Danio rerio: one gene and its partners. The protein of the gene in region 3 interacts with the protein of the main gene of each other region in a pairwise test. Links are inferred from orthologs where the notes say so. Each region holds a gene or a part of one and is shown on either strand. Other genes may lie near its edges. The genes, in order: csrnp2, csrnp1b, ppp1cc, ylpm1, lmtk2 and insyn1.

Region 1 (3,500 bases), on a different chromosome or scaffold from region 3:
TCACAGTTGTCTTGAAGGGTAATATTAGCTATATGAACCAAAATCGTTCTTTGATCGAGGCTGTAAACACCTTTTTTTCTGCTGTAAAGTTGGCCAATTTTAACAGTGGGCTCAATAGAAATTTGCTTTATTATGGAGCCAGGACTAGCGGAATTGCGATGAATTACAGTTTCAGTTACTTCTGTATTTGCTTCAGGAGGGATATTTTCAAGCAGAAGATTGCTGCTTAAATATGACTTGAAAGCTGTCATTTGAAAAGTATGAAATTCATTGTGTTAAGACAGATTTTGAAATTGGAGAATGCACTACCAAGGGAAAGTACTTCAAAACCTTTTAGCAAGCTCCTCCACCTAGTGGGTGGTGTCAAATTTTATATTGCAAAATGTACTATTCCATCATATTATTATTTTTGGCTTAGTCCCTTTATTAATCCATGGTCGCCACAGCGGAATAAACCGCCAACTTATCCAGCATGTTTTTACGCAGCGGATGCCCTTCCAGCCGCAACCCATCTCTGGGAAACATCTACACACACTCATTCACACTCATACACTACGGACAATTTAGCCTACCCAATTCACCTGTACCGCATGTCTTTGGACTGTGGGGGAAACCGGAGCACCCAGAGGAAACCCACATAAACGCAGAGGGAACATACAAACTCCACACAGAAACGCCAACTGACCCAGCTCGAGCCGAGGCTCGAACCAGTGACCTTCTTGCTGCGAGGCGACAGCACTACCTACTGCGCCACTGCGCCGCCAAAATGTACTATTATATATTATAATTAAATATTTTTATAAACTTGTCGATTCACATTTCATGAGAGCTATTGTTTCATATTTGCTGCCAGTTTTGTGATAGAATTTATATTGTGAAAGGTGTGTATGGATCAGTGAAAGAAGTATGGATAAACAAATTAGGTAACACTTTAGTTTAAGTACCAATTCCCACTATTAACTACTGGCTTATTACCTGCCTATCATTAAAATACTGGCAGTTTGTTAGTACATATAAATCATGATCTTAGTCTATATCCCTAATCCTACCCAGTAAACTCAACTACTACATTACTAACTATTAATAAGCAGCAAATCAGGAGTCCATTGAGCCAAACTGTTGGTTTTTTAACAGCGGCAATTGCACATTTTTTGAGTGTAAACATGATTTATACACAAAATAAAACAATATTTATAGAATTTCATATTCATAAATTATTTTTTCTTTCCAGTAAATTTAAGCATTTATAACTTTAAAACCCTGTCTTCATTTATTTTAATGCTGAAGTCTCTTCTTTATACAGAGACCAACTTTACACTAAAATAAAACAATAATTAGATTTGCAAAAGTTTTATATGGGCAAATTATGTTGAACATTACCAAATAAAATTAGCTTGTTTAAATTCAGCCCATAAATTGTTTGCAACCAGTTATCTTAAAAAATGCAGTAAATACAATAAATCAGTGTAGGTATGCATTCCAAAACAAGGAGTGTCATGTTCAACATGAGGACTCACAGTTAAAGGGTTAACAAGTTTTCATCTCAATGTAAATTAGTCCAAGAAGGACCTCAATCAACATCCTTTTTATGTCCTGGACCTACATTTCTATAATAGGAAAATCAAACCTCTATGACCTGTATCAATAATCTAAACTGTTTGGGGAACAATCCATTGATGATATTGTACTCTCAGCCAAAAAAAAAAATAACCTAAACCTTAAACATAGTCTAAACTATGTTGTATAGTAGTTTTATCATCCTAAAAAAACTATTTAAAAATCTCGATTAGGCTATGGTGGTTCTTACAAACGAGCAGAAATGTGACAGCCTTATGCATGAACTGACTAAAGTACAGGGGTTAACATTAACAGCCTTACAGCAGTTTAAATAGCAACTTTAAAGGGCACCTATGATGAAAATCCTCTTTTGTAAGCTGTTTGGACAGAACTATGTGTAGGTACAGGAGTATGGTTTCCCCGCCAACCAAATTGATTGACACTTGCCATGTCTCTACAATAACATGTATACACATGTCCACGGAACATTCTTTGCAAAGAAACTAGGATTAAAACATTTGCTACAAGTCTCTGTGATCAGCTGCACCTCAATAATCAATTTTATGAGTTTAAAGCGTTTTTAAAACAGAGCATGTTGGTAATAAAGACAGAAAAATCGCTATGTAATTTTTAACCGCTATAATCACCACGGCCACATGGTGTCACTGTGTATGTATAGGTGCAAACGGCATTTGTGTGTGACTCATCATTTCAAAAAGGCTAGAATAGACTCCACCCTCAGGCCGTACTTTTTTACTTTTACTTGAGAACCAAAGTGTAGTCAGTACTTCAATTTCTACCAGAGTCGTTTTAAACATGAGCATCTGTACTTCTACTTAAGTAAAAGATGTGTGTACTTTTGCCATCTCTGACAACCAAGCACATGTGGTCAGAACATAAACAAGTCGCAGGTAATGAGGTATTAAACGTTTCTCCCAAAGAAAAGCCTGTCTAAGCAAAATGCTAGCAGGCGTCTGTAGCTCAGCTCACGCTTCGCCTCTCCGTGCTTGTTTGGTATCCCCCGGTCGGTGCGATGCCACGCAAACAAAATGGCGATGGTTGGCCTCGCCTACTTGTAGCTTCATTTATGTTCATCAGAAACCTATGGGTGACGTCACGGATACTACATCCATATCTTTTACAGACTGGAGATGCAAATCTTAAAACAATCAAGACAAAAATAAATAAATAAAATCACCATTTAAAACACACCGGCTCACTCATATACAGACAAGTGTTTGTATTCTCTCTAATATTTTTATAACAGGACAATTGTTGCGGCCCGTTCATAACTTACTGCCAGGATGCCTCCATAACACTGAACTCATATAAGATTAAGTTGTTAGTTAGTCTTACGTGTGAGGGAGCTGGAGGGAGCGTTGAGACTGTCGCAGCTGTCAGCGCTGTCACTGCTGGAGATGTCATCATCTGAGTCTTTGGGTGTGGAGCACGGCGAGCCGCTGTCCACCTCCTCGAATCTGCGCTTCAGGCCGCGAGATGACACTGTCTCCATGGAAACACTGCTTCTGAAGGCAATACAGACAGGTACATGCTTTATTCTGACTGACTGACTGACAGAATATCACCACAGAAATCCAACATGAACAGTTATGACAAAAGAGGATGAGCTTTGTATCATTCATTCATTGTCCTTCAGCTAAGTTTGTTATTTACCAGGGGTCGCAACAGCGGAATGAACCACCAACTATTCTGGCATATGTTTTACGCAGCGGCTGCCCTTCCAGCCCCAACCCAGTACTTGGAGGCTTCATATCATATGTAAACTATATAGCAGAATTCTCATACTGTATAAAATTAACATATAGTTAGTGGCACAGTGACTCAGTGGTTAGCACTTGCTGGTTCGAGTCCCGGCTGGGCAAGTTGCCATTTCTGTGTGGAATTGGCATGTTCTCTCTGTGTTGGCATGGGTTTCCTCTGGG
Region 2 (4,263 bases), on a different chromosome or scaffold from region 3:
GCGAATCATTAGAGATGATGACGTTATTGTCATATTGACGAGATGATGTTATTAGGGTGGAGATGAAGATTTCTCTCACATGCTACACTATGGATTCAATACATCATCAAACTTCGCATTTCCATAGACATGTTTTCAATTTGAATTAAAAAGTTATTTAAGCAAAAAGGGTACCAATTCTAACTTAGACAATATTTCACACTGGAATTCAGAGAGGTGGAAATGTAACATTTTATAAAATAACAAAATGAATCAGATCTGTTTGACCATATACTGTTGTTTACTTTTTAGGATGGGGGTCCCTCACATGACGATGAACCGATTATTAATTATTATGAAGATCACCATCTAAAGGTCATCTAAATTATGCTAAGAGCCATAAGAAAAACATCTCAAAACACCCTCCTAAAGTTATTTAACAGTTTCGAGAGAATCACTGCTCCTGGTTTATGTCAACGAATAGAAACTCTGACTGCTCAGGAAATTGCCAAAACTGAAAGAAAATACTTCCACATGCAGCAATTTGCATCAATATCCGAAATGCAAACTTCCAACACAGTCCGCAAAGTGTAGGTTCCTTGAGAAGTCATCTGTATGAGTTTGTTCTGACTAACTTAATGGTGACAAAAACAAATACTAGCCATCTTTACCAGTCTCTCGGGACTCACAAGGGAGAGTATATGTGTGCGTCTATAGGATGGGGGGAGCCCAGGGGTCATCAGCTTACGTCTGGGGCACTTGCTGGTACCTCACAAGCTGGGAGGAATGTTGGAGAGTGACAAAACAGATGGGTTCCCTCTGCTTCTCGGTTTTAGAGACATCAGGACTTCAACACCCCCCCCAATACTATTGCACAAAAGCCACACACATATCTATCCAAATAAAAACACCCTGCCTGTGGGTGGGAGATTAATAAAAATGACATGTTGTGATGTACACCAATTATGACGGCATCATCTCAATTTTTTCAAAGCATGACTGGATTTAAATAGGAAGAGGGAGGAAACTATCCAGACATGCTACTTTAACCAGCTGAGTGATTTCACTGACTCTGGAACACGTGCAAGTTCACACCTCATCAACCCAGAAGTAAGTAAACAATACAATCTTTTATGGTCCTGTTTGATTAGTTTAACGTGCACTTGAATTCAAAACAACATCGCAGGTTATGGGAATAAAAAGTCTCACTTGTAAACAGTTTACCACAGGGTAGTGCAAAAGCATTTTAAATGAAATAAAACGCTAATGGACTTACTAAGCTCGTTTTAAGAATATAAATCCCCTAAATGTGTGAGGTATGTCAACAAAAACACCAGAAAAAATCCGACTTGTGTTCCCACAAACAATCCGAGTGAGGTCGCGCGTGACAGCGACTGCGCGCTCGTTCACACAGAAGCACGCGCAAAATAAACACACTCAAACTTACGACACAGCCACAAATATACAAGCATCATCATCATAACACACCCTTCTGCGCTCGTGCCTTCAAAAAATACTGAAATTATTGAACTAAAATTTACATAACAAGCTCAATGAATCCCACCATCAAACATTCAATGTGCTCACAGTCAGGAATTGAAAATTACCTGACAAAAGGAATGCCGTGAGATTGTAACAAACCGAGTGGAATGAGAATATTAATTTACTTCAGTTATCCCAATCACGCAGAGCACAACGTGTTGGTGATTGTTGCCTCGTGATTGACTGTCAATCAAACCAATTATCAAATGACCTGGGGAGACTGTTTTGCTTGCTTTTAAATAAATAAATAAAAAACACTTTTCTTTGTGAATGAATTATAGGCAATTGGTTATGTGCGCCTTTAAATGTAGCCAAATAAAATAGCACTGTAAAAGCCATTTATAGGCTATTGATCAAATACCGGTTCGACCAGCTGAAGTTTGGATCGGATCAAGTAAGGTCTCCCCCAGACCTGCATTCAGCCTTGTATGCACCCTCGGTGACGTCATCGAGGACTGGAAGTGCATATGAGGCTGAGCGCAGATCTGCATGCAGACTACTGAACTGATGCGGTGTGGCACCTTAAGGAGTCGCTCGCGCTTCAGAAGATAGGCTACACCAGCGCTATAAACGTGAACGAGGAATGCACTCAACACTCACACACATTCAAACTAGCAATTACGGCTTATCGGATACACACACATACGGTCCACTATCCTGGAATTCTGCCAATGGATCCGATCAGAACCGCCAACAGCTGCTTATGAGAATAAGGCTATCTTTTATTAAAACCCAGCAAACACTGCCAATCAAAATTACTGACAGAAAAAAGCATAAAACCCGCGAATATTTAGACCGATCTACACACTTAAAACGGTTTACATTAAAGCACCAGAAATTAAATTAATTAAGCTTACCAGAGTTTATTATAACACAATTAAAACGCAAGACAATGGCTTAATAACTTTAGTTAGTTTTTTTTTCTGCCACGACAGTATACAACAATGTCCTCTGGATTTGCTACTTGAAATAGTTACACAACACATTTTATCTCTTTACACTGGCCGACAAAAGAACATTGAAACTATCTGGCTGGACTCCAGATCCGAGGTTTGCCTATTAGACACATTACAAGTGCGGCGTTAAACAGCGCGGAGCTCCGCTACTCACCAATAACGTGTCCGATCAGCATTAGTAAATCACTATCTAGGAAAAGATGAAGCTGTAATAATCCAAGAGATGCGATCGCGCGTTTATCCGTAAAGAGATCCCGTTGTGTTCGTGCGGCTATTGTGCGCTCGGCGGACTGGAGCGGCAGCTGAAGCTGTTCCTCTTGTCTGAAGCAGACGCGGAGCAGCGCAGTCTTTTCGTCAGTGGAAAACTCCCTCCTGGCGTGTGACGCAGGCGGTGACACTGAGCCCACGCGCCGCTTCCTGCCTTCCGCGCGGGGCGACACTCCTCCTGGCGCACACAGAGAACGAGAGAGAGACCGGAACAACAGCGCGAGTTATGGGAAACTGTAAATCTTTCATTGCCTTCAAAACATTTACTATGGTAACCACAGTGGCTGGCAAAATATTGGAGTATACACACTGAAATCATGATCAATTGTGCTTTCTTAAAACATTTTAAGATAACCAGAATCTATTTTGCTTTAAAGTAGCTTTCTATATATATATATATATATATATATATATATATATATATATATATATATATATATATATATATATATATATATATATATATATATATACACATATATATATTTTTTTTTTCTGCGACGTTTATGTTAAAATGTATATAATCAATATAAAAGTGTCAATCACATAATCAAAAAAAAAAATATATATATATATATATATATATATATATATATATATATATATATATGTATGTGTATATATTTTTTTTTTCTGCGACGTTTATGTTAAAATGTATATAATCAATATAAAAGTGTCAATCACATAATCAAAATTAATATTATTACTAAATAATGATAATAAATAATTATAATAAATAATTATATATGGACAAATAACTCAAAATATTACAAAATGTTATATGTGAACTATATTTAAAAAGTATTTTAAAATTATATAGGACTGTAAAATGTAATGATGTTATATATGTAAAGTAATGTGTTGTACATTAATACAGTAATTTGTATTAATGGTATTTATAGTTGTTTACATTTTTGTTTTACACTCTTTACATGTTTTACATAAATTTTACATTTTATATACATTTATTGTGATGTCAATTATAACAAAAACTGTTTAAATGAATAAATCTATGCAGTTTGATAGATGTTTATACAATCAGATTTCCTGAGTCAACCTCACTGAAGTAGTGAGTCATAAACCCTGCATCATTTATCAGTAAATCCCGCAATCCTTCTGCATCATTCAGCAGCAAAACTTGTAAAACCATTGCCTAATTTATTGGTCATACAGTTGCAGCGGCATTCTGAGCCGACATGAAAACAACTCTCAGACATACTGAATAAGCCATTAGATTACATTACATTTGCATTCCTTCTCTAGGTTGGACTGGGGTTGATGGCAAGTTCACGATGCATCCCAGTGATTTCAGGTATGACTGAACATGCCGTGTCCTCCTATATCTACAGCATCTCTCGTCCTGTCAGCTGTGTCATCATTAACTGTGCACGCCTCTGTAATGCAGAATTACACTAATGCAGTGTTTATCAGAATCGTGCACATCGTAGACACGTTCGGGTGGAGTAAACTTTCGATTTCTATTGAAAAAGGGAGTGCTGCCAGTGTCAACACAGGTGTA
Region 3 (4,237 bases):
AATTAACCATATTGAACTGTTTTTGCTGCAATCAAAAACCAGTAACGTGTCTGATTCAGCATAGCGTGAACTCACCTGATATAACATGAGAACTGCAGAGTCCAGCATTTCTAATTAGGTCCTCACTCCATTCAGCTCCCTTATAGCTAAATATGTCTGCAGTTGGCATTAAAGCAGTGTGGTGTACGGTAAATGTTAAGCTGCATTTGAAAAGTTGGATTTGGCACCCTACCGCACAACTATTACTATTGACACCAGGAACCCCTGTGACGTAGGTTGATAATTTCTCTAAATATAGGCTTAAGTTTTTTAATTTAAAACAACTTTGAACAGATTCCTTATTTTATGATGGATAATAATAAATTAGCATTTGAAAAAATAAGTATTTTTTCGAATTTCTTAGTTCAAAATGTTTAATTTAAATTCTAATCTCATTACATTATTTGTAAAAAGTAATAGTGTAAATTTTAAATGCACAGTTGTAAATAAACACAATTTTTTGTTAATAGTATGGTAAGCACTTTGACAAAAATATAGGAAAATATTTGTTGCGTCAAAAAGTATTGTAATGATAACCATCCGACAAGCTAATCCAAAAATTTGTGCTTAAAATGTCAATGTATTTGATAAAAATGAGCCGAATAGCTGCAAAAAGTTCCACTTTTTGAGAACCCTTTTAATAGGCTGGCTACGGGCCTGCATTGCAATGCTGTAGTATTTTTAATACCTAAATTAGCATGAATTAAATGCATACTGAGTAAATACCTTACCACAAATGACAAAATATGTAATGGTATTGACAGTTGACAAAGGATGAGGTTAGTTAACATGAAAAGTAATGTCAAATACTATAAAACTAGTTTTTTTTTAATGCCAAAATCAGCATTAATTAATTTCTAATGCAAAAATACTACAAATTAAATAATATTTTTTTTACTATAATGAATGACAATTGACAAAAAAATGTGGTTAGTTAATATAAAAGGTCATGTCAAATACTGTAAAACTAGATTTTATGCCAAAATTAATAATTTTTTATTAGGTTATTATAATAAATAACAGTTGACAAGGCATCTGGTTAATTAACATAAACAGAACTGTCAAATAATGTAATACTAGTACATGTGTATACCCGAATCAGCATAAATTAAATGCATAATGCAATTTTTTCAAATGAAATAATATTTGTATTAGGTCTACTGTAATAACAGCATGCCAAAAGACGTTGTTGGTTAAAATAAATAATTATGTTAATGTGTAGGATATGTTTTAAACATGTGTTTTTAAAAGTTTTTCATTGCAATTAACATTCAACGTCACACGTTATTGTGAAAGTCAGCGGCACGCCCTCCTCTTTCCTCCGCACTACTTTTCTTCCTTTCCTTTGTGTTCATCCGCCCTCCCGTTTCCATCAGCGGTGAAACCGAGCCGAATTGCGTGTCCTTCCGCAGAGCCGGTGCGCCACCGCCGCAGCACGCGCGTCTAACGGGCCCGCTCGAGCATTTTAATCTTTTCTTTTAGAGTTTTGTGATTAACCAGTTTGTTTTTAATCGAAGTCGTTTTATCTGTCGTGTCTGGTGTGTTTTAAGCGGTGGTGTTTGTGTTTTTATCGGCTAGTCATGGCTGACATCGACAAACTCAACATAGACAGCATCATTCAGCGCCTGCTCGAGGGTGAGTTTCAAGCCAAGTGACAGCTAAAATGTACTTTTAATAACATAAGTAACTATATAATTGCCATAAGGGTTGTGTGTGTATATGTATATGCTTGATCTATCAACTCTGTCGTTTTTATGGATGTTACGTTAGCTGAGCTAGCGAGAGTTAGCTGCGCATTAGCTCTGCTCACTGACACAAACGGCTGTGTGTCAAATACAGAGTTTTCTACATAGACACTATACTGATATATTTGAAGATTATATATTATTGGTTGGTTTCGAATGGACAGTACTTTTGACTATAAAATACACTCTGTGTGGGCAGTTCACTGGTGTTTGTGACACTGCCAAGCTGTACGCGCGGTTTCGGTGCTTCAGTAAACACATTACGTTAGTACACTGACTAATGCTGATATTATGATATTGAATACATATTTGAGCATCAAAACAGCTGTTTATTAGTGTACCACAGTCATTAAAATTAACAACAGGGCTTGAAATGTCAAAAGTGTGATTTCTAGCGCTAGGAAAAACAATATTTTTGAGTTCAACCCAAATTTATACAATTTGAGGGTGTCATCTCTATAAAATGTTTATTAAAAATCCTTGCTTTAATTAGACATCTTAAAACCTTATTTAATGACTAACAATATGAAACTGTTGAAAATGAGAACTTTAAAACATGATAAACTCTTAATTCTGATTGAATATGAACACTGTATTTGCTTATATTATGACTTTAAACATGTATTATTATTACATGTAAATATATTTTTTAGGGGGGGAAGGACATCACATCCTGTACAACTGCAGGTTATACAGTGTTCATACAGTCATGGAAAACCTGGAAAAGTCATGGAATTTTTACATGGCATTTTCCAGGCCTGGAAAAGTTTTGGAAAAACAGAAAAACCTACACAGTTTTAGAAAAGTCATGACAAATACTTGAATATAGGCTTTTCTCTTATTTTCTGTCCTTGGCCAATCACATACTCTCATATTATTAGTGCGGTGTAAGCATTATCTAAATTAATTTTGCATGGATATAAATTGAAAGTAAATGGATTGTTGCATGTTTTATGCTATGCTCTAATAAATTTGAACATGCATTGCTTTTCTTTTACCACGCATATGTAGACATTGCATGAAACATTAGGTCATGAACATTTACATGAAAGTCTTGGCAAAATCATGAAATTTTAGTAGTAAAAATGTGTATGAGCCCAACTATGTTTACAACATTTTAGCTTTTTTTTGAATTGACTGTAATGAAATGTGCACCTTTTGTAAAGCTGCTTTGAAATGAATTATTGTGAAAAGCACTATACAAATAGATTTATATTTTATTATACAATGAATTGTATCTTTGCAAAATATAATTGCTTTCTGGAATGCATTATAAAAGCAGCAGGTGCAATAAAGGCAGAATGATTATGCAAGATTTTATAGTTTTATTGTATACAGTGAAGAAATGCATTTACATAACATTTCTCGCTTGTTTAATTTTTATATGCAACACAGTTCATATTGGCAGATATTATTATTTAGACTAACATTAAATGTATTATTAAGGTATGTATCCTTCATAAGCGGGTCTGACTTCAGATTTAGCACTGCAGCAGCTTTGACCCATTTTTACTTGTACTTTCTGCAGTAGTGATTTCAGCATCATACACATACTGATATGCATGTGCTTTTACTTTGTCCTCTTACACTGTAAAAAATATATTAGTGAACAGTTTCTCTATTTTGTGTGTTTTGGGTTTATTTGCGGTGGCAAATTGCATTATGCTATGTTGATCTCTCCTCTGTTGTATTTTTAACATCAAAAGTGCACAAAGTGACTTATTCACATTTTAGTCATTTGAAATAATAATATCATGTATAAAAATAATATCTAAAGAAATAAGTCTGTTAAAGAATAGAAAATGTTTGTTACAATGTTTTTGTAGCGTAATATACAACACCAACCAGACAGTATATCACTTTAAGCTATTAAAAAAGTAAATAAGTCACTTTTTTTAACTTTACAAGGTTAAAAGTTGTTGGAGGAAAGTAATAATCCAATTCAAAAGCGTAAATAAATGGGGGAAAGTAAAAACATGAATCACAAAATACATAAAACTGCTTATTTAAAGATTTTTTATTGCTTAGGTTTATTTTTATGCAGTGTGAAATAATGGCTGCGCTAAAATTTTGACATTGTCATGGAGAGATGCTATAAATTATATTTGGGTAATAATAATGCATAATGTTTAATTATGATGCACCTTTCTAAGCTCAAAGCGCCACAACATTTACAAACATAAGGTTGCAACCAAAGCCTAAATTACAAACTTTCATAATCAAATCTCTGTATTAATTCACATCGCAATAATGAATAAAAAACAATTAAGCAAATTTATTTTTTAAAATGTCAGTGATATCACAAATGGGCAAATATGGCTCTAAATTTAAAATTATTTATTTTAAAATAAATATATTACCAGTATATTAGGAACACCCTACTCCTTGCATATTTTCTAAGATTCCTCTGTTAAATATTTTATTAGACTGTCCTGCTTTTAATGTTTGTAGAA
Region 4 (3,500 bases), on a different chromosome or scaffold from region 3:
CTTTCATATTAAGAAAGCAGGACCAACCTTTCTCATAAGATCGCTCAGATGGAGCTGGAGCAGGTCTTAGCAAGACCCTCTCCCCATAAGAAATTCTTTCCACTGTTGAACCCCCATCTAAAGAACGATAAAACAAGTGTAAAAAACTGTCGTTTGACTAGATGCATTTATAAACAAATTCAGAACATACACTGACCACGACCATGCGCATAGTCCACAGTTTTAGCAATGAATGAGGCTGTAGGGGCAGTTGAAGAAAGAAAATCTGTAGATTGATTTGAGGACAAACCAGCATTGAATGTCTGTCCAGTTTCAGACAATAAGTTGGTAGCCTGCAAAACAAAATCCTCATGCGATCAATTGCTTTCCATAACTAAACTACTGCAATACTAAACATTATTATGCACAGTTAGCATACCTGCAGGGCACTTTTAACCTCTGGTGGAATTTCCAATCCAAGGATGCCAGCAGGAAGCTCTGAAGGCAACCCAGCTGACTCTGTGGTGGAAACCTCTCCTAAAGCCTTTTTGGTCTCCTGAAGCTCTCTACGAACAAACAGGTTTAATCAAGTTGTGAATTCAACCGTTTGGAGTGTATGAATTGCATGTTATTTGAATAATTGTACGCTCTTGATAAATTCCATTTTACCTGATCATTTTTAGCTCCTGGGCAGCTTTAAGAATGATCTCATGCTGCCTTTGAGAAAGAGCAAGTACAGCCTTAGTTGCGCTAGGTGAAGACTCATCAAGTGGGGAATCTGTGGCTTGAGGTGCGGGAAGGCTAGCTAGTGGATCCAGTTTATGTTCATAATCCGTTTCACTAAGTGAACGGGAGTATCCTCTTTCTGGTGGGGGTGGAGGTGGGGGCCTTTCCCAATCAGAACGTGAATGAAATGGAGGCTCCCGATCTCGGTCTTGATAAGGTGGATCATCAGGGTAAAAAGGTCCCCTTCGTTCTTCTCTATATCGGTCTTCCTCATATGGGAATGATCTTTCTCTTTCCTCTAACCATGGATCCTCTCTAACACGTTCTGGAGGACGATGTGGAGGATAGTCTCGTTCAGGTTGCTCCCCGTCCCATTCCTCACGAGAGCCATAATACTCATCTCCATGCTCATAATCTTCATTGTATTCATGAGGTGGCCTTCTGTACACATCATCCTCTGCACCATATGGGTATTCCTCCTCATAATTCTCTTCTTCATGAGGTGGTGGGCCATGCCACCTTTCTCTTGGCATTGCAGGCCTCATGGGTGGTCTTCTAATGCCTCTTCCCATTTCATGGGGTGGCAAAGGTGGTCGTCTAATCCCTCTACCACGAGGATGAGGCCATGCAGGCTCTCTGTCAATTTCTTCTTCATATCCATGAGGACCAGCTGGTTCCCTAGCTATAATTTCATGAGGTGCTGGTGGTCGTCTTAAATCTCGCTCCATCATGTCATGGCGGGGTAATGGTCCCCAAGGGCCTAAACCACGTCTGAATCGTGGTACAACTCCCCCACGTGGTCGAAACGGAGGAGGTCCAAGTGGGTTATGTTGCAAACTTCCAGGAGGAGGAGGGCGCCTTGGACCTTGAAGCATAAATCGTGGATGGAAAGGAGGTCTTCTGGGGCCACCTGGAGGAAAAGGAGGTCTAGCACGCATGGCAGGTCGTTGCTCTGCCCAATATGGATCTTCTTCCTCCCAATAATCCTGTGGTTCTTCTTCCCAGTTTTCATCTTGGTGAGTGTCCTCTGGGTACTCCTCTGGAAAGTGTTCCTCCTCTGGTTGCCAAATCTCTAAAGGTGCTTCCTGATCAATTTCTTCAGGACCATCTAAAGAAGGATCTCTCCAAATACGATCCTGATCCTCGCCATGACTTGCGTTGCCTGGTTCCTGATGGTCATAGGAATCCTCCTCAATTTCTCTTTGGAAGTTGGGATCAGCCATTGGTCCGCCATACTGCCCTCGACCACGTGCACGACCCCTGCCTCGGAGAGGCATTGGTATTTGGCCTCGTCCTCTTCCCCGTGCCATCTGTGGTGGAACTTGCTGATTCATCATGGGTAGCATCCTAGGAGTCTCCTTGGGTGTATCAGGTTTAAATTTGTTTTGAGGAGGCTTTACTTGTTGTGGTGGCCCATTAGCAGTATGACTGGTCTTAGGAGGTTGCAAGTTAGAGTTTTTGTTTGTGGTGTCTGGGGCATCCGTAGGTGCAGATGGTTTTGTAGTAACTTCTTTTGTTTTATCTTGCTTTGCACTGTCTGCATCAGTTTTATCAGAATCCTTAGTTTGAGGAATGGGTCCACTCTGAATAAAAAATCCATCCACTGAGTCCACAAGGTCGTCTGTCATGGATGGAGCAGAGGAATTGTTTTCTTTTTGAGTACTTTGACTTAAAGGACTTTTAGCTTTGTCTGGGTCTGTATAAGATGGAGGAACTGGCTTTGCCTCAGGTTTTGCTGATTGTTGCTTTGTTTGATTGCCAGTTACAGGACTGGATTGTTGACCAGAACCAGTTTGTTGAGAAGCTACAGGAGGTCTTTCAAAGCGTGTAGGGGTATTCTGTCTAGGGGGGTTCTCCAGCCTTGCTGGAGCCCCTGGAAAGGGAGGATTACCTCTAGGAGGTTGGCTAAATCGCTGACCAGCATCAAATCTGGGTGGTCCACTAAATCGTTGCTGGGGTGGCTGTTCAAATTGTGGGCCTCTAGGACCTTCAAATCTGAAAAAGAAAACAAAAATTAGTTCTCTAGCTCGAGACAAATGTGTTATTCCAAGTAATTTTTCTTCTGAATTACCTTGGGCCGTCAAATCTTCCATGGGGTCCAGGCGGTCCACTTCCTGGTCCAGATGGTCTAACTCCTGGCCCCGGTGGTCTACCTCCTGGTCCATATGGTCTAACACCTTGTGGGCCAGGTGGTCCAACCCCCGGTCCAGGTGGTCTAACCCCCGGTCTTGGTTGTCCAACCCCTGGTCCAGCCCCAGGACCAGGCGGTCCAACGCCAGGACCAGGCGGTCTAACGCCAGGACCAGGTGGTCTAACGCCAGGACCAGGCGGTCTAACCCCAGGACCAGGCGGTCTAACCCCAGGACCAGGCGGTCTAACCCCAGGACCAGGCGGTCTAACTCCATGACCAGGTGGTAAACCAGTTTTACATGTTTCAGAAATAGATTCCAGATCAGAAGGTGAATGACCCTGGGGAACAACTGGTCCAGACTGTGATGGGCCTTGTGTTGATGGTGCTGGCATGGCATCCATGGTGACTGGCGGTGGCATAGATGGAGTTCCTGGGCCTACTAAATTCATGTTTCCATTTGGTCCCATTTGGACATTTGGACTTTGCTGCCCATATGATCCCATCATTCCATATGAAGAACCATACTGATGCTGCATGGCTCTTAAAGTCGTGACCCTCTCTTGCAGATGAGCTGAAGTTGAATTCATTTGCTCCTGCCATTGCCTCCACTGGGCTTCATAATCATGTAGCTGATCTTTATGTGGGTACATCTGAAACTGTTCTA
Region 5 (4,113 bases), on a different chromosome or scaffold from region 3:
TCAGCAAACTAATAAAGCCCGAAAAAAGCCCTGAACTTAGCGAATAAACAGTGTTCCACCAGATCATGTATGTCAGAAACTATAGTTTACTGCTGAACTCATTTTGTCATGGTAAAATAACACAGAAATCGAATAATAACATTTCAGTCTACTTCAGTCTCCTGCCGAAGCTCAGACGCCGCGCTTTGAGAAACTGTCAATCACAGCTGTCAATCACGATGACACGCCCAGCATTAAATTACTGCTAAAAACAAACTGTTTACAAAAATGAAGATCTGCACCTATTTCAGCACAATAACCAGTGCCTTAATCCACCAGAACCATCTTTCGGGACATTTTATTGCAAGTGTAATATTTTTTTTTATTTGGGCTCAAGTCTCCTTCATTAACACGGAGGAGGCGGGCTTTATGACTTGTACTGCAGCCAGCCCCCAGGGGGCGATCTAACGGCCGAAACCTTCACTCAAACGTAGGCTTGCGGCACACTTGTTCCGAATTCATAGAATTCGAAAATCAGTACCCGGATGACTTACTACTTCCGGCGAGATTCCGGAGTGCGCATCCCATGCATGCTGCGCTATCCCATGATGCCCCGCGAGCGAAATCATGAATGGAAGTAAAGCGACGCAACTGACGCACGTAGGTCACGTGACCATGACAAAATGGCGGATGTAGTACGTCCGAATTCCATTCATACTTTTCACATTCATACTGTACAGAACGTACTTTTCTAACAACCGAGTAGTACGTTTAAATTCAAATGCAGTACCTACTGAGTAGTAGGCAGATTCGGACGCAGCCAATCTCTCTAAATTAACATTCATTTTAGGTACTTCATCATTTAAGACAAATTACTGACATTTTTGTTTTTGTACAGGAAAATTACAGTATCATTTATAGTGTTTTTTCTGTTATTTTAAATTATGTTCAAAAGTCCGTAAAAATTACAAATAATATCTGTAAATTTACAGCTTGACTGTTATTTTATGTACTATATAATTAATGAAAAATTACAGCAACTTTCCTGTTTTAGAATCCTCCCTTGTGGATCAAGTAAAATCACAAAGATAATATCTTTTTCATGCTAATTCTTATTAAAAAATCGATTTATTCTTTACTAAGATGCTTTCGTTGTTCCACAGCTTCACTTTGTGTGGGGAGAAATTGTGAACGAAACATAGTTTCCATGCCAAAAAGAGCCTGTTCATGAAATTTAGAGAGTTTTATAGGGAGTTTGTATGGTAGGCAACCTTTTTTCTATGTGAGTGATCTGTCAGATTCTGACGTCACCGCCGCCCTCGTGTGACGTCACTAAACATGGCGCTCGTGCGGAAAGGTGATGATGATGGACCTCTATGTTTACTGCGCTTTTGATTTTTCCGCGAACGCAAGACTTTTACAATGTCTGAAAAAGACGTATCCTCGCGTTTAACCGTCCTAGAGAGGTAATAAACCAAACGGCGGCTTTGAACGATGCTAAATAATCACATATAAGACGCCGGTAGCGGTTAGCATTAGCTTAGCTTCATGAGCACCACAGCTCTGTCGTGTTAGCTAACGCTCACAACGCGACGCACGACTAATATCACACAACATGAGTCTTTGACATATATAGATGTAACGATATAGATGTACGTAGACAGCTCTTTGCGTTATTTGTTTAGATGTGCTAGCTGTTTTTTAGGTAGTTGAGGTAGTGGATTAGCCGCAGTGCTGAGGATGGAGGCTCTTCTCGGTGGAGGTGTGTGTTTTCTGGGATTTGTCACTCTCACACACGCTGCTCCGGTCTCTAATACACTCTCAGGTAAGATGTCAGTCACATTATGATGCTTATTTGTCACTCATGTTGTCATTGAGAAGCTGTGTGTGATGCCAGCATTGTGTTGGGGTTTGCTAATGTCATGTTTACATGGTGCTGCTCTCAAAAATAGCATGGGGCTACCTTGGGGTGTTAAGGTAAAGTTGGTTTTATATTCGTACACTCATTTAGTGACAATTTCCTTTGTTGTTTATCACGGTACAATAAATATTCGGTTTCAAATTGTATGCAAGTATGACTTTAAAACAACATAAGCACTATTAAATTGATTGTGAACAATGTTGTACTTTGATAGTCATTGGATGCTAATATAATTTCACTATTTAGAGTTTATAAAGAAAACTTTTCTTAAATTATATTATGAAGGAGAAAGTTCAAACGTGTGATTTTTAAAACCAACTTTACCTCAATCATTAGTGCTTGGCATTGTTTTGTTGTTATGGGGTAAACAGGTGATTTGACAGCTGACCTGTCAGTAAACAAACCAAGTGAAAGTGCGAAAATGTCCTCAAATAAAGACTAATCAAGCACCTGTGTTGTGGAAAGATACTTTAGAAAGTAATGTATTACAATATCGAGTTACTTCGCAAAAAATAACTAGTTGCGCTACTTTTTATGTGGTAAGTAATGTGTTGATTTTTGTGTTACTTTTCCCATACTGGCTGAGTCTTAAACTCTTTCAGAACTTGCAAGAAGTTTTTTCTTCATTTTTCGTTTTAAAAGAGGAGCTCTGTGATTAACAACACACTGTATAACCTTCATTCATCTTTAAAAAACACAATAATGTAGAATAATGTTGTCTTCTGAGAGCTCCCTGAGCTGTAGTTTGTTGTTTCTGGTGATGCTCAAAATTCAGATGGAGGGCAGGAAGGAAAAAGTTGAATGGGAGACCGAGGAAAGGCCAGGTTTTTGTGATTTATACCATGTTTCAAAGGAGATATAAATGGAAAATCACCACATATGTTGATTGAGGTAAAGTTGGTTTTATAATCAAACATTTGGACTTTCTCCTTATTAATATAATTTCAGAAAAGTAGTCTTTGCAAACTTAAAATAGTGAAATAATTAGCATCTAATGACTATCAGAGTATAACATTGTTTACAATCAAATAAATAGTGCTTATGTTGTTTTCAAGTCATACTTACATGCAATTTCAAACCAAATATTCAATGTACAATGGTAAACAATATAGAGAAGTTGTCACTGAATGAATGTGTTAATGTAAAACCAACTTTACCTCAATCCCTTGGGCTTGATATTGTATTGCTGTTATGGGGTAAAAAGGGGATTTGACAGCTGACCTTTCAGTAAACAAATCAAGTGAAAGTGCGAAAATGTCCTCAAATGAAGACTAATCAAGCACCTGTGGTGGGTAAAGTTACTTTAGTAAGTAATGTATTACAATATTGTCTAGTTGTGTTACTTTTTATGGTAAGTAATGTGTTGAGTTTTGTGTTACTTTTCCCTTACTGGCTGAGTCCTAAACTCTTTCAGAACATGCAAGGATTTTTTTTCTTCAGTTTTTGTTTTTTTAGAGGAGCTCTGCGATTAACAACACACTGTATAACCCTTATTCATCTTTAAAAACTCACAAAAAAACATAATAATGTTGGATAATGTTTTCTTTTGAGAACTCTCTGAGCTACAGGTTGTTGTTTCTGGTGATGCTCGAAATTCAGATGGAAGGCAGGAAGTAAAAAACTAAATGGGAGACAGAGGAAAGTCCCTGTTTTTGTGATTTATAACATATTTCAAAGGAGATATAAATAGAAAATAACCACATATATTGGGTATTGAAAATTATAATTAAAAATAGTCACATTAGCTTTCACCGGAAGTTTATCACTAGCTTTAAAACTCTTGCTGTGCATAGAGCCCATTGAGGGTGCGGTTCAACATCAATTTTAATTCAGCAATTACATTTTTTTAGAAGCTAATGCAATTAAAAATAGCCTGCATGATATTTTTTAAACTAAAATATTGTTACTTAATCTTTTTAAGTAACGTAACTTTTGGCCCCGTTTACACTGCCAGTTAAATGTGAGCCAATTTTTTTGTTCATGTGACACAGATCGGATCCCTTCTATGACCGCATAAACACGTAATAATGCATTCATACGGATATTCAGAGATGGTTTCAGATCTCCTTCATATGTGGAAATAAATCAGATTATAGGATATGTGACGATGCGACTATCATGTAAACAAGCACTCCGTTTTGTACGTCATTAAACTTGCGACAATGTGGTACTTCTCCGGTTGAATGACGTAGAAGGAAGAGCGTGTACGGAGA
Region 6 (2,791 bases), on a different chromosome or scaffold from region 3:
TTTTAGCAAACTAAGACCAAAACTGTTGGTCAAAACATGATTATTCTAGCAAACTAAGACCAAAACATGGTTATTTTAGTTAACTTAGTTCTTATTTACTAAAATAATCTTGTTTTGACCAGTATATTTAATGTAAGACTAAAACTGTTGGTCAAAACATGGTTAATTTAGTAAATGAAGACAAAGTATTGGTCAAAACAAAGTTATTTTTGTAAACAAATACATTAAAACTGTTAGTCAAAACAAGGTTATTATAGAAAATGAAAACTATTGTTCAGAAAAGGCTATTATTGAGAACCAAAACTATTTTGTCAGCGCCAACAGTCTAGTGGTTTGTGCATTGATATATACTGAGGTCACTGAGGTGCTCACAGAGACCCGAGTTCAATTCCCAGCTCAAAGTCCTTTACTGATCATTCCCCTTTCTCTCTGCTCCACATGCTTTCCTGTCCCAGACTATTGGTCAAAATGAGCTTATTTGAGTAAAGAGAACTAAAATATTTTGGAAAAACATACAATCATTTTCAGTGGCTGAAATTTTGGTGTACCCTAGTTACAATTCAGGTAACACTTGGAGAGAGTGGATTTTTACATGACACACACCATGAAAACCATTGAGATTTTATGCATGCTCATGAAAACGTCATTAAGAGAGGATAATATTTGTATTTTCATCTCTGTTTATATTTAATATATGTTAATAATTAGACCCAATGATGGGCTGAAAGAAACAAAACTAAACTTGGATTTGTTTTGGGTGAAGTTTCCCCACCTCTGGCTGTGTGTGGAGCTGGAGGCCTCCTCACTGGACGAGTCGGGTGTGATGATCAGGGGTCCGTTGGGGACGGGCAGCCCGCCGTTCATCTGCGAGTACACGCTGGCGGTGGTGGGCGGAGGTTTGGTGTCGTCCCGCGCTGATCTCCGGCTCGATGACTCCAGAAAGCTGCAGAAGTCCCAGCTGTCAGAGAGCGAGTCCTGGCCCAGAAAGTCCAATCTGAAGGCCTCGCACAGGCCGCGCTCGCTGCTGGACGTGCTGCTCGCTGTCGCCACCGTCCAATCGTCCGCATCCAGATCCAGCTCCAGGTCTGATGTGAGTTTGTCGATCTGACCCACCACCTGGAGGACGCAGAAGGAGAGAATGATGGTGAATAATGGGCTTCACATATTCGTCACATTGATGGTGAGTCGACCTGTTCAAAAAAACTGAGACGATTCAAGGATCTTCATTTATTTTATTAATGAATAAGGCAAGCTTATATGAAGTTTTAAACATGTCCAACAAGTTTCAGGTGAAAACCAAGTAATCTGAGGGAGTTTTAAAAAGTTTCAGACCCTGAAACAGGCCAAAAGCAGCAAAAAACAAAGTGATGAACACTGCTTAAAACAAAGATCATCAGTCTTTCTGTTTTAATATCTAGGCAAGTCATTAAACAACAGGGATTTGTTCTGTAGACAATCAATCAATCAATCAATAAATAAACCAATATGTGTTAAGTCTGACCTGAGTTTATCGATCTGACCCACCACCTGGAGGACACCGAGCCACTTAATGATCATAAATAACAAAAATAATGAGTTTGTGTACGCTCAATTGATGCTCAGGCACCGCGGTCGACCTGTTCAAAAATCTGCAATACCTTAAGGATCTTCATTGATTTGATCAAAATAAACAATCTGAAACTGGGCTGACTTGAAGGTATTCCCAAAGACACATTATATTATATAAACGCTAAGCTACTAAATATACAAACTTTCTCTCAAGCATTGTGAAGTGTGCCTTTATTGTCAGATAAAGGCACAGCTAAAGTAGTTCCGGCAGGTTTAGAGTGCATTACAGCTCTATATCACTCCACTAATTTATATCACTGCTAAAACAGTCAAACATCACATCAAAACACAACAGAAGGCTTCGGAGGAGACGTGGAAGAAACTAGTGCTGCACACAGGAGCAGTTTGAGGAGGACACACACCTGTCTGTAATACAACATCTCAACAGTTTACAAGCTGTACTGGAGACCAGAGGACAAGCACAGAAATTACCTCAGGTGTGCGTTATTTGTATAATAATTCAATGGCCTATCCTCAAGTATTACTTGTGTGTGTGTGTGTGTATATATATATATATATATATATATATATATATATATATATATATATATATATATATATATATATATATATATATATATATATATGAAAAATGGATGAACAGTACATTCTACTGTAATCTCAATACATAAAACAATATACAATCACTCGCCAGATCCCTTTGTTTAATGGCTCATTAATGCAAACATCTAATCACAGCATACCTACAATATACAATATATTCTGATAAATGGAAGCTAAAATGTAAAGTGACAAACAAAAATAATAACAAGACAAAAAGAGTTGCTTTGTAACTACTCAAGAGATTTCAGCTGCTGACTGGGCTTTCCATGCCTTTCTACGCCTCCCTTTCTTCATGTGTTCTTCAACTTTTTTTTTTTTGGTCATTTTATTACACAAAACTAAAGCAATTAATTTTGTTTTCTGAAAAATGTATTTAAAATGTGTTGCTAGGTCTCTCCAAAGCCCAATATTAACACACTGAAATGCTGTGTGTTATCATCTATTCTAAACATCATATATTTACATCTTAGATGCCATCTTTAATCTTACATTTATATTTATTTGAATGATCTAATTTTTCCATATATTAAACTATTACATTATTATTATTATTAATAAATACAGGCTAAAATATATTGAAACCTAAATGTTCAGTGTGGTGCCAAATCTCTATCTTGTC

What was found.
Region 1: the proteins of ppp1cc (region 3) and csrnp2 interact in binary tests that used the Homo sapiens proteins (3 or more experiments, as listed by UniProt). The link is inferred for Danio rerio from reciprocal best matches to the Homo sapiens genes PPP1CC and CSRNP2.
Region 2: the proteins of ppp1cc (region 3) and csrnp1b interact in binary tests that used the Homo sapiens proteins (3 or more experiments, as listed by UniProt). The link is inferred for Danio rerio from reciprocal best matches to the Homo sapiens genes PPP1CC and CSRNP1.
Region 4: the proteins of ppp1cc (region 3) and ylpm1 interact in a two-hybrid assay, tested with the Homo sapiens proteins (2 studies listed by BioGRID and IntAct). The link is inferred for Danio rerio from reciprocal best matches to the Homo sapiens genes PPP1CC and YLPM1.
Region 5: the proteins of ppp1cc (region 3) and lmtk2 interact in binary tests that used the Homo sapiens proteins (3 or more experiments, as listed by UniProt). The link is inferred for Danio rerio from reciprocal best matches to the Homo sapiens genes PPP1CC and LMTK2.
Region 6: the proteins of ppp1cc (region 3) and insyn1 interact in a two-hybrid assay, tested with the Homo sapiens proteins (2 studies listed by BioGRID and IntAct). The link is inferred for Danio rerio from reciprocal best matches to the Homo sapiens genes PPP1CC and INSYN1.

The regions. Positions count from the first base shown.
Region 1 is NC_133198.1:36,596,347-36,599,846, forward strand, and holds part of csrnp2 (cysteine/serine-rich nuclear protein 2), read right to left. Parts: intron 3,084-3,500; exon of another isoform or gene 3,081-3,083; 5' UTR 3,071-3,080; coding exon 2,914-3,070; intron 1-2,913. UniProt on the Homo sapiens protein: Binds to the consensus sequence 5'-AGAGTG-3' and has transcriptional activator activity. May play a role in apoptosis.
Region 2 is NC_133199.1:23,587,862-23,592,124, forward strand, and holds the start of csrnp1b (cysteine/serine-rich nuclear protein 1b), read right to left. Parts: upstream 2,801-4,263; 5' UTR 2,632-2,800; intron 1,963-2,631; exon of another isoform or gene 1,883-1,962; intron 1,654-1,882; exon of another isoform or gene 1,587-1,653; intron 1-1,586. UniProt on the Homo sapiens protein: Binds to the consensus sequence 5'-AGAGTG-3' and has transcriptional activator activity. May have a tumor-suppressor function. May play a role in apoptosis.
Region 3 is NC_133180.1:2,464,351-2,468,587, forward strand, and holds the start of ppp1cc (serine/threonine-protein phosphatase PP1-gamma catalytic subunit A), read left to right. Parts: upstream 1-1,437; 5' UTR 1,438-1,619; coding exon 1,620-1,674; intron 1,675-4,237. UniProt on the Homo sapiens protein: Protein phosphatase that associates with over 200 regulatory proteins to form highly specific holoenzymes which dephosphorylate hundreds of biological targets.
Region 4 is NC_133195.1:9,354,067-9,357,566, forward strand, and holds part of ylpm1 (YLP motif-containing protein 1), read right to left. Parts: coding exon 2,777-3,500; intron 2,701-2,776; coding exon 649-2,700; intron 546-648; coding exon 419-545; intron 333-418; coding exon 197-332; intron 118-196; coding exon 28-117; intron 1-27. UniProt on the Homo sapiens protein: Plays a role in the reduction of telomerase activity during differentiation of embryonic stem cells by binding to the core promoter of TERT and controlling its down-regulation.
Region 5 is NC_133178.1:66,126,353-66,130,465, forward strand, and holds the start of lmtk2 (serine/threonine-protein kinase LMTK2), read left to right. Parts: upstream 1-1,313; 5' UTR 1,314-1,719; coding exon 1,720-1,804; intron 1,805-4,113. UniProt on the Homo sapiens protein: Phosphorylates PPP1C, phosphorylase b and CFTR.
Region 6 is NC_133193.1:53,476,374-53,479,164, reverse strand, and holds part of insyn1 (inhibitory synaptic factor 1), read right to left. Parts: intron 1,117-2,791; coding exon 773-1,116; intron 1-772. UniProt on the Homo sapiens protein: Component of the protein machinery at the inhibitory synapses, probably acting as a scaffold. Inhibitory synapses dampen neuronal activity through postsynaptic hyperpolarization.